2 linked regions of the Cricetulus griseus genome follow. The protein of the gene in region 2 binds, or shares a complex with, the protein of the main gene of each other region. Links are inferred from orthologs where the notes say so. Each region holds a gene or a part of one and is shown on either strand. Other genes may lie near its edges. The genes, in order: Eif3e and Eif3g.

Evidence for each region.
Region 1: Eif3g (region 2) and Eif3e share a complex: the UniProt entries of both Homo sapiens proteins name them as parts of the eukaryotic translation initiation factor 3 (eIF-3) complex. The link is inferred for Cricetulus griseus from reciprocal best matches to the Homo sapiens genes EIF3G and EIF3E.

The regions. Positions count from the first base shown.
Region 1 is NC_048603.1:9,459,983-9,463,791, forward strand, and holds part of Eif3e (eukaryotic translation initiation factor 3 subunit E), read left to right. Parts: intron 1-2,141; coding exon 2,142-2,256; intron 2,257-3,809. UniProt on the Homo sapiens protein: Component of the eukaryotic translation initiation factor 3 (eIF-3) complex, which is required for several steps in the initiation of protein synthesis.
Region 2 is NC_048597.1:133,768,102-133,772,657, forward strand, and holds the start of Eif3g (eukaryotic translation initiation factor 3 subunit G), read right to left. Parts: upstream 2,969-4,556; 5' UTR 2,878-2,968; coding exon 2,858-2,877; intron 2,742-2,857; coding exon 2,695-2,741; intron 2,503-2,694; coding exon 2,419-2,502; intron 2,315-2,418; coding exon 2,226-2,314; intron 2,104-2,225; coding exon 2,044-2,103; intron 94-2,043; coding exon 1-93. UniProt on the Homo sapiens protein: RNA-binding component of the eukaryotic translation initiation factor 3 (eIF-3) complex, which is required for several steps in the initiation of protein synthesis.

The sequences.
Region 1 (3,809 bases), on a different chromosome or scaffold from region 2:
GTGACTTCAGGAGATAAAAGTGTGAAGTGCTTGTATTCTTGCCAATAGGGTGTGAATATTTTAGCCAGGCTGCCTTGCCATTATTAGCACTGATACTGTTAGGTTTTCTGTTTTGTCTGTTTTTTTTGTTTGTTTGCTTGCTTTTGAATTAGAAACAAGATTGTTTTACATCTCAATCCCTCTCCCTCCCCTCCTCCCCTACCACCCCCCACCCCCAACTACAAACCTACCTATCACATATCCTTTCTGCTCCTCAGGGAGGATGAGGCCTTCCATGGGGGGGGTCATCAGAGTCTGTAATATCCTTTGGGACAGGGCCTAGGCCCACCCCCGTGTGTCTTGGCTCAGGGAGTATTCCTCTATGTGGACTGGGCTCCCAAAGTCCACACCTATGCTAGGGATAAGTACTGAACTACTACAGGAGGTCCCATAGAATTCTGAGGTTTCCTCTCTGAAACCCATGTTCCTGGGGTCTGGATCAGTCAGTCCCATGCTGGTTTCCCAGCTATCAGTCTGGGGACCAAGAGCTCCCCGTTGTTCAGGTCACCTGTTTCTGTGGGTTTCACCAGCCTGGTCTGGACCCCTTTGCTCTTCACTCGTCCTTCTCTGCATCTGGATTCCAGTTCAGTTCAGTGATTAGTTGTGGGTGTCTGCTTCTACTTCCACCAGCTGCTGGATGAAGGCTATAGGATGGCATCTAAGTCAGTCATCAATCTCATTATCAGGGAAGGGCATTTAAGGTAGCCTCTCCTCTGTTGCTTAGATTGTTAGCTGGTGTCATCTTTGTAGCTCTCCAGACATTTCCCTGGTGCCTGATTTCTCTGTAAACCTAAAATGTCTCCCTCTATTATGGTATCTCCATTCTTGTTTTCTTCTATTCTTCCCCCGACTCGACCTTTTTCTTTGTTTTTATCGTAGTTTTTATATGCACTTCCTTCCCTTCCAATTAATGAAGTTGAGATCTTCTCATGTGGCTCGTGTCCTTGTATCTCCTTAAGTGACGGTTAAGATGTTCTAGCCATTGCCCTTGCTCTTGGATTATCTGTCATTTCTTCTTTTGTTAGTGGAGTTTCATATGTAATGTGGCACATTCACTTTGGATTCTGTGGTACACTGTTGTGGACTCTTCCTAGACTCAAAACATAAGTCTAAATATCTCTCCGAGGTGGCTGAGTATCTCAGATTTCTTACATGTTCTCAGTGGCCTTTATATTTATGTGAGTCTGTATTATGTGTTTATTCCCTGTGAGTTAATACAATGTTTCCCAAGCACTCTGCAAATCAAAAACCTGGTATAAGGCGGACTTAGAAAATTGGTGGTGGTTTAATTTTAGAGGTACAGGTGGAGAAGCACATGAATGATCGCAGCTATTAAAAGAGAAAAATGTAAAGGTGTGGCCACATCAAGGAGAGGTGCGAGGCTTGTGGGCGCAAAGGGAAGCTAGAATCTAAAATGTTTAAGAGCCTGTTCCTAGTTACCTGGGTGTGGAGGAGGCAGGGATACTTGCTTTGCAGAGGAGAAGGTATAAGTACTCTTGTATATTGCATAACTTCTTCAGAAAGCATAAAAGGTTGCTTGATAAAACAATCATTGATCGGGAGTAATTGAGAATGACATTCCTTTTCAAATCTTTGGGTAGGTAATATGTTGTGTAAATTGAGTGCTTACTATATTGGTTGCTTTTCTTTTTACAAAAAATGACTGTGTGTGTGTGTGTGTGTACTGGGAGGCCTTAGGCCTTAGGTACCCTAAGCCAGTGCTCTACTACCGACCTGTATCTCTAGCCCTGTGATGCTTTTCTAAAAACTAGGCAGTGGAGGTAAGGGGGGAAACTCAGTGGATTGGCTGCCATAACACACACCTCTAGGTCAAAGGTCAGGGGACAGATAACTCTGAAGTCAACTTTTCCTCATCTGTATGTAATTTTCAGGGATTGAATGCTGCTCTCCTGACTTGCTTATCACCAGCCCCCCAAGATATGCTGAACCAACTCAGCAGCCCTTACACAGACACACAGACACACACACACACACACACACACACACACACACACACCTTTTAAATAGTGTTTCCTGAAGTATGTTTCTCAATAAACAGAAGGACTTAAATATACTGGTTAAAAGTAGTTTTTCTCTTACAGATATATAATGAAAAAGAATTATTACAAGGAAAATTGGATCTTCTTAGTGATACCAACATGGTGGACTTCGCTATGGACGTCTACAAAAACCTTTATTCGGATGACATCCCTCATGGTAAGTTTTATGGTTAGAAATAAAGCACATCATGTAGCTAAAGTGTATGTAAAGTTTTATGATATATGACAGCTGTAGCTAAAGTCAGCTGTCCTTACAGCCATTGGGTGAAAACATGTAGACAGGTTGCAAGATGTGTTTTCTCCTAGTGAAAGATGCGAGTCTACTTTAAACATAGTGATCTAACAGTTGAGACCATAGTGTGCGTCGTGGTACTTACGCCACAGGCTGACAGCCTACAGTTTTCTGAGAATGCTGCAGTTCTGTATATCCGCACATCATCAGCTTACCTGGGGGGAATTCCTTCAGAATGCAGATTTTGGTCCATGACCCAGACCTATTTGATCAGAAACTCCTGAGGCCCTGTAGTGGTGTTGGAGAGCTACGAGGAGAATACTGTAGACAGTTCTTAAGGAAGAAAGAACAGAAAAATGGTTCCTTAAATACCGGAAATACGGGCTGGGCTTGGTGTCTGATCCCAGCAGCATAGGGCCTAGAGGCACAGGCAGGTGAGTCTCTGAACTTGAAGACACCCTGATCTACACAGCAAGTTCTAAGCCTGCCAGAGCTCTGCCTCAAAAAAAAAAAAAAAAAGAAAAAGAAAGAAAAGAAAGAAAGAAAGAAAGAAAGAAAGAAAGAAAGCATAGGAAATACTATTGCTCCTGCCCCCTCTTCTGTACGTGTAAGGAATTCTGGACAGCAAAGAGCTCTTGTTTAAAATTGCTGTTTTTCAGATTTTGATAGCAGGTTCTCATTTTTTTTTTTTTTTTGTGCATGAACTTGGTAGCTGTTTTGCTTTTGGTTTTGAATGTGTCTTGAGCAGAGGTTTATAGAGAAATGCTGGGGGGGGGGCAGTGAGTTCATGTTGGGCCAGACAGGTGGCTCCTATGGGAAAGCATTTGCTGCAAATGCCCCCTGACCTCAGTTTGCTCCCCAGAACCCACAATAAGAGAACCAACCCTGCACTCACACCGATAATCCCCATCATTCATACTGAAAATAATTATAAATAAAGTAAAATTTGGAATAAAACAAGTATCCGGGTGTGGAGAAGAAAACACTGCTGTAGGAAGAGCACTATAGAATGAAGACATTGTTAAAGTCAATATAACTTTCTTTAGTTTATAGGCAGTAACTATTTAAATTTAGTTCGTGATGGGAGTGAAGGGTCTTTTTTTAAATTTTATGTGTATGATGTTTGACTGCTTGTATGTTGGTACACCATGTGTGTGCCTGGTATCCCAGAAGATCTAAAGAGAGCTTCACGTCCCCTGTGACTGTACTAAGAGATGGTTGTGAGCTGCCATGTGGCTGCTGGGGATCAAACTGAGATCCTCTGCAAGAGGAACGAGTGCTCTTACCCGCAGAGCTGTGTCTCCAGCCCCGAGATTGTCCTCTTTATCACAGCTTCCTAAGTGTCGAGAAGTACAAACGCATGCCACCACAACTCTAATGACTGCTAGTCTCTGAGAATTAATCTGAGATGCAGGTTATGTGTGAGTTTTCTCTTTATTCTGGGGATAGTATAGTAAACGGGATCTGTAAAGTTAGGG
Region 2 (4,556 bases):
GATGAATGTCATGGAGACATCATCGCTGACTGTGGTGGTGGCCACATTGGGCCCCGGTGGGTCAAACTCAGAGTAGCCAAACTTCTTCCAATTCTGGGTTCCCAGAAGAATAGGGAAAAATGGGGACAAAGGCAGTAAGATAGCAGAGTGGGGTACCCCAGACAGACAACCCCGTCAGAGCCTTAAATCCTACATTCTCGTGTCCCCAGAGGCCTCCCATGTGATAATGGTGACAATTCTCATTTCCTAAGCTAGGCTTGGTGGAATGTAACTGTTACCCTGACACTTAAAGGTGGAAACAGAAGATTCCGAGCTCAAGGTCACCCTGAGATACACAAGTTCAAAACCAGCCTGAGCTCTGCTGTATGAGGCCAAAACAAAGGAGTGGGGGAGAAGGGGGGAGGGTGTTGGTGAGGTGGTTCCGTGTGTAAAACCGGTTATTGTACATGAAAGAACCCAAAACTCTCATATAGAAAGTATGAGCCAGGTGGTAGCGGCACACATTTTTAATCCCAGCACTTGGGAGGCAGAGGCAGGCAGATCTATGTGAGTTCAAGGTCAGCCTGGTCTCCAGAGCCAGTGCCAAGACAGCCTCCATAGCTACACAGAGAAACCCTGTCTTGAAAAACAAAAAACAAACAAACCAAAGAGTTAAATATAGCCCAGGGGCAGGGGACCCTATCTAAAGAGAATAAGTTGTAAAGTGACATGACAGAGCAAGTCACCCAATCTCCTCCTCTAGTCTGAGTGTGAATATACAGCCATTCATGACCCCGAGACACACCCACACACCTACCCCCCCCCACACACACCCCATAAGGAGAGAAGCAAAAAAAAAACTCCAGGAAACAGCAAGGAGACTCAGAGTAGAATGGCACACAACTGTGCCACTGAAGTTTCTAGGCAGGTGCAGGGCGGGCTCCCACCAGGGAGGAAGCTGGAGGATGTCCAAGAGTCACTCAGATCACAGGAACCTTAAGCTAGTTAAATGGGACCACAAAGCTCCCTGCCTCCCTAGCCTGATCTAGAGGTTGGGAAGCCATGTCTTGCTAAATGCCTGGCATGGAGCCTTGCTCTCAATGTGTTGATGTCCTTCCTCCAGAAGCCCTTGCCCCTTGCTCAGTAGAGGCTGCTTGTTCCTTCAAGTAGACAGAGCAAAGGAGTAAGAATCTAAGTCAGGACCCAGGAGGCTAGGCAGAAGCATTTAGAATCTGAATACTACACAGCAAGAGCCTCTCAAAAATAACAACAAATGGGGCTGGAGAGATGGCTCAGAGGTTAAGAGCACTGAGTGCTCTTCCAGAGATCTGAGTTCAATTCCCAGGAACCACATAGTGGCTCACAACCATCTGTAATGAGATTTGGTTCCCTCTTCTGACATGCAGGCAGAACACTGTATACATAATAAACAAATAAATCAATCTTTAAAAATAAATAAATTAAGGCTGGGCGTTGGTAGCATACGCCTTTAATCCCAGCACTCAGGAGGCAGAGGCAGGCGGATCTCTGAGTTTGAGGCCAGCCTGGTCTCCAGAGCGAGTGCCAGGATAGGCTCCAAAGCTACACAGAGAAACCCTGTCTCGAAAAACCAAAAAATAAATAAAAATAACAACAAAACAAAAAACTCAAGAGGATGGATATGTCCCAGTTAGCAAATTATTTGTCACAAAAGTACCCATCAAAGTCCAATCCCAAGCACCCACAATGAAAAGCTGGGCACAGAAGCATGTGATTGTTATCTCCAAAGGTAGAGACAACAGGCTCACTGGGGATAGGTGGCCAGCTAGTCAAATCTAATTCCTGATGACAAAAGCCCATCTCAATGCAAGAGGAATTTGCTGGAGGAATGACACTGTACACAGGAGCACACAAAAGGGGGGAAAAAAATCTAACCTCAACTACTCCTGGACCCTGAATTTCCAGGGCCTGACACTAAATTTTTAATTCTACATCAACAGGAAAGGACTTCCCAACTCCTCTGGGCCAGTCCTGGAGACCCCTCCGCATACACACACCAAAGTGAGTCAGATGGGAGGGCCTCACCTTCCTCCTGGCCACAGCCTTCGATGCCTTCCGGGTCTCAATCCTGAAGGTCCTGACAATCTGAAGATGGAAAGGGAGAAAGGACTTCCAGAACCTCAAGGCCTTCCTTCCTCACCAATCCAAACCAACACTCACAGCCCTCATCGCCAATCCAAGCGCCCCCGCGGCCACCTCGGCCTCACCTTGAACTTCTTGCCATCTTCATCTACCTTGTACTCGGTCACAGTCTTTACGTTCCCGTTGATGACTTCCTTGGGAGGTGGCAGTGGCTCTGTGGGAAGACAACAGGAACTGAGTCCTGGATAACGGGGACTTGCTGGGAACGGGCTCGAGGGCCGGAAGGGGGAGGGGACGGCAGGGCTGGACGGGGCTCACCTCCGGGCAGTAGCTCCGGCTCTGGACTGGTGTCCCCGGTGGGCAGAGGGATTCCCTTCAGGAGCTCGCTGGTGACACACTTGTCTGTCAGAGGCAATGCGGGGGCGGCGGGGGGGACGGAAAGTGAAACACACGGCTGGGACGTCCAGGCCAAGGTGTGGGTGGGTTTGGGGACTCCGGGGGCTCGGCCCGCCCCGGGACAGGGCGCGGAGGGCCGCGCACAGGCACTCACACGCACGCACTCACGCACTCACTCACACGCACACGCGCACTCACCGTCCTCGCCCTCCTCTTCCACCTGGTCGGCCCAGCTGGGCTTCGAGCTGCGGAGACACGAGAAGGGTGAGCGGGTCCCGACCCCCGCGCCGCCCGGATCACCACACACCCAGCGCTGCCCCACACCGCCTCTCTGGAGAGCCCGCCACCGCCCCGTCCTCACTCAAAGTCGCCCGTCGGCATCGCGAAGTCTAGCTCCACGCAGCTCCCAGCCCGGGTAGAGAGCGGAAGCCCGGGGAGAACGAGGCTTCCGGTGCCGCCCCTGCAGCCTAGAGCGGCCAGACCGCGGCGAGCACAGCGCCTCCCTATGGACGAAGGCGGACACGCGACTCTCGTGTGCAGCGAAGTACGGGGACCCAAGCTGGAAGGAGGTCCCAGAGAGACCGTCCAGAACTTCTTAAACTCTCCGCACCCACTTAATTTATTGTTTTTTTGGGGGGGAGTGATGGGATTAGAAGTCACTGTATCACTCTGTAGCTAGGATAACCAGCAATTCCCGACAATCCTCCTGCCTCAACCTCCGAAGGGCTGAAATTATAGGCATGAGCACCACGCACTGATGTACCGAAGGCTGGGTTTGCACTCATAGCAATCTCCCCAGTTTATTCTCTTGTGGACTGAGCCCAGGTCTTCAGGCTTGGCAGTCAGCCTTCTTAGCTGCAAAGACATCTTGCAAGTTCTACCGGTGTCATCTTTTTTTTTTCCTCCGTTTTTTATTTGAATTAGAAACAACATTGTCAACAAAACAAAACAAAAATAAAAAACACCAAAAAAGGCCGGGCGTTGGTGACACACGCCTTTAATCCCAGCACTCGGAAGGCAGAGGCACAGATCTCTGAGTTCGAGGTCAGCCTGGTCTCCAGAGCGAATGCCAGGACAGGCTCCAAAGCTACACAGAGAAACCCTGTCTCGAACCCCCCCCCAAAAAAAAGGAAGAAAGCAACAACATTGTTTTACATGTTAATCCCAGTTCCCTCTCCCTCCCCTCCTCCTCTGCCTCCCTCCCCCAAGTAACACCCTACCTATCCCATGCCCTTTCTGCTCCCCAGGGAGGGTGAGGCCTTCCATAGGGGGGGGTCATCAGTTTGTCATATCCTTTGGGATAGGACGTAGGCCCTCCCCCGTGTGTCTAGGCTCAGGGAATATTCCTCTATGTGAAATGGGTTCCTACCAGTGTCATCTTAAACTATTTCCCATACTAAGCTTTTCTCCTTCCTCAGAGCTACACCCCCTAGAACTCTGGTATAATCTTCCTTTACTTGATTCTCAGCCTCTGGGAACATGCATTCCAAGAAGTTCTTTCTTAGTTTGGGTTGCTAGTGCAGATGGAAAGCACACGCTGGGCGCACTTGTGATGACCTATATTTCCAGCACGTAGAATTTGTATTATGGAGCCGTGTGTGTGTGTGTGTGTGTGTGTGTGTGTGTGTGTGTGTATGCGCGCGCGCGCGCGTGCGTGTGCAGGAGTGCATACCTTTAATCCCAGCACTTGTGGAGGCAGAGACAGGTGGGTCTCTGAGTTTGAGACCAACCTGGTCTACAAAGTAAGTGCATGACAGCCAGGGCTACAGAGAAACCCTGTCTTGAAAAACAAAACCAACCAAACAAAAACAAAACAAAAAATTTACTAGAGAAATGCAAAATCCAGACAAATGGCCTTTGCTTTGTTTTTGTTTTTGTTTTGTTTTTTCAAGACAAGGTTTCTCTGTGTAGCTTTGGAGACTCTCCTGGAGCTTGCTCTGTAGACCAGGCTGGCCTCAAATTCACAGAGATCTGCCTGCCTCTGCCTCACTAGTGCTGGGATTAGGGACATAAGCCACCATCACCTGTCTACAAATGGGAAAATTCTAAAAACAAAATTT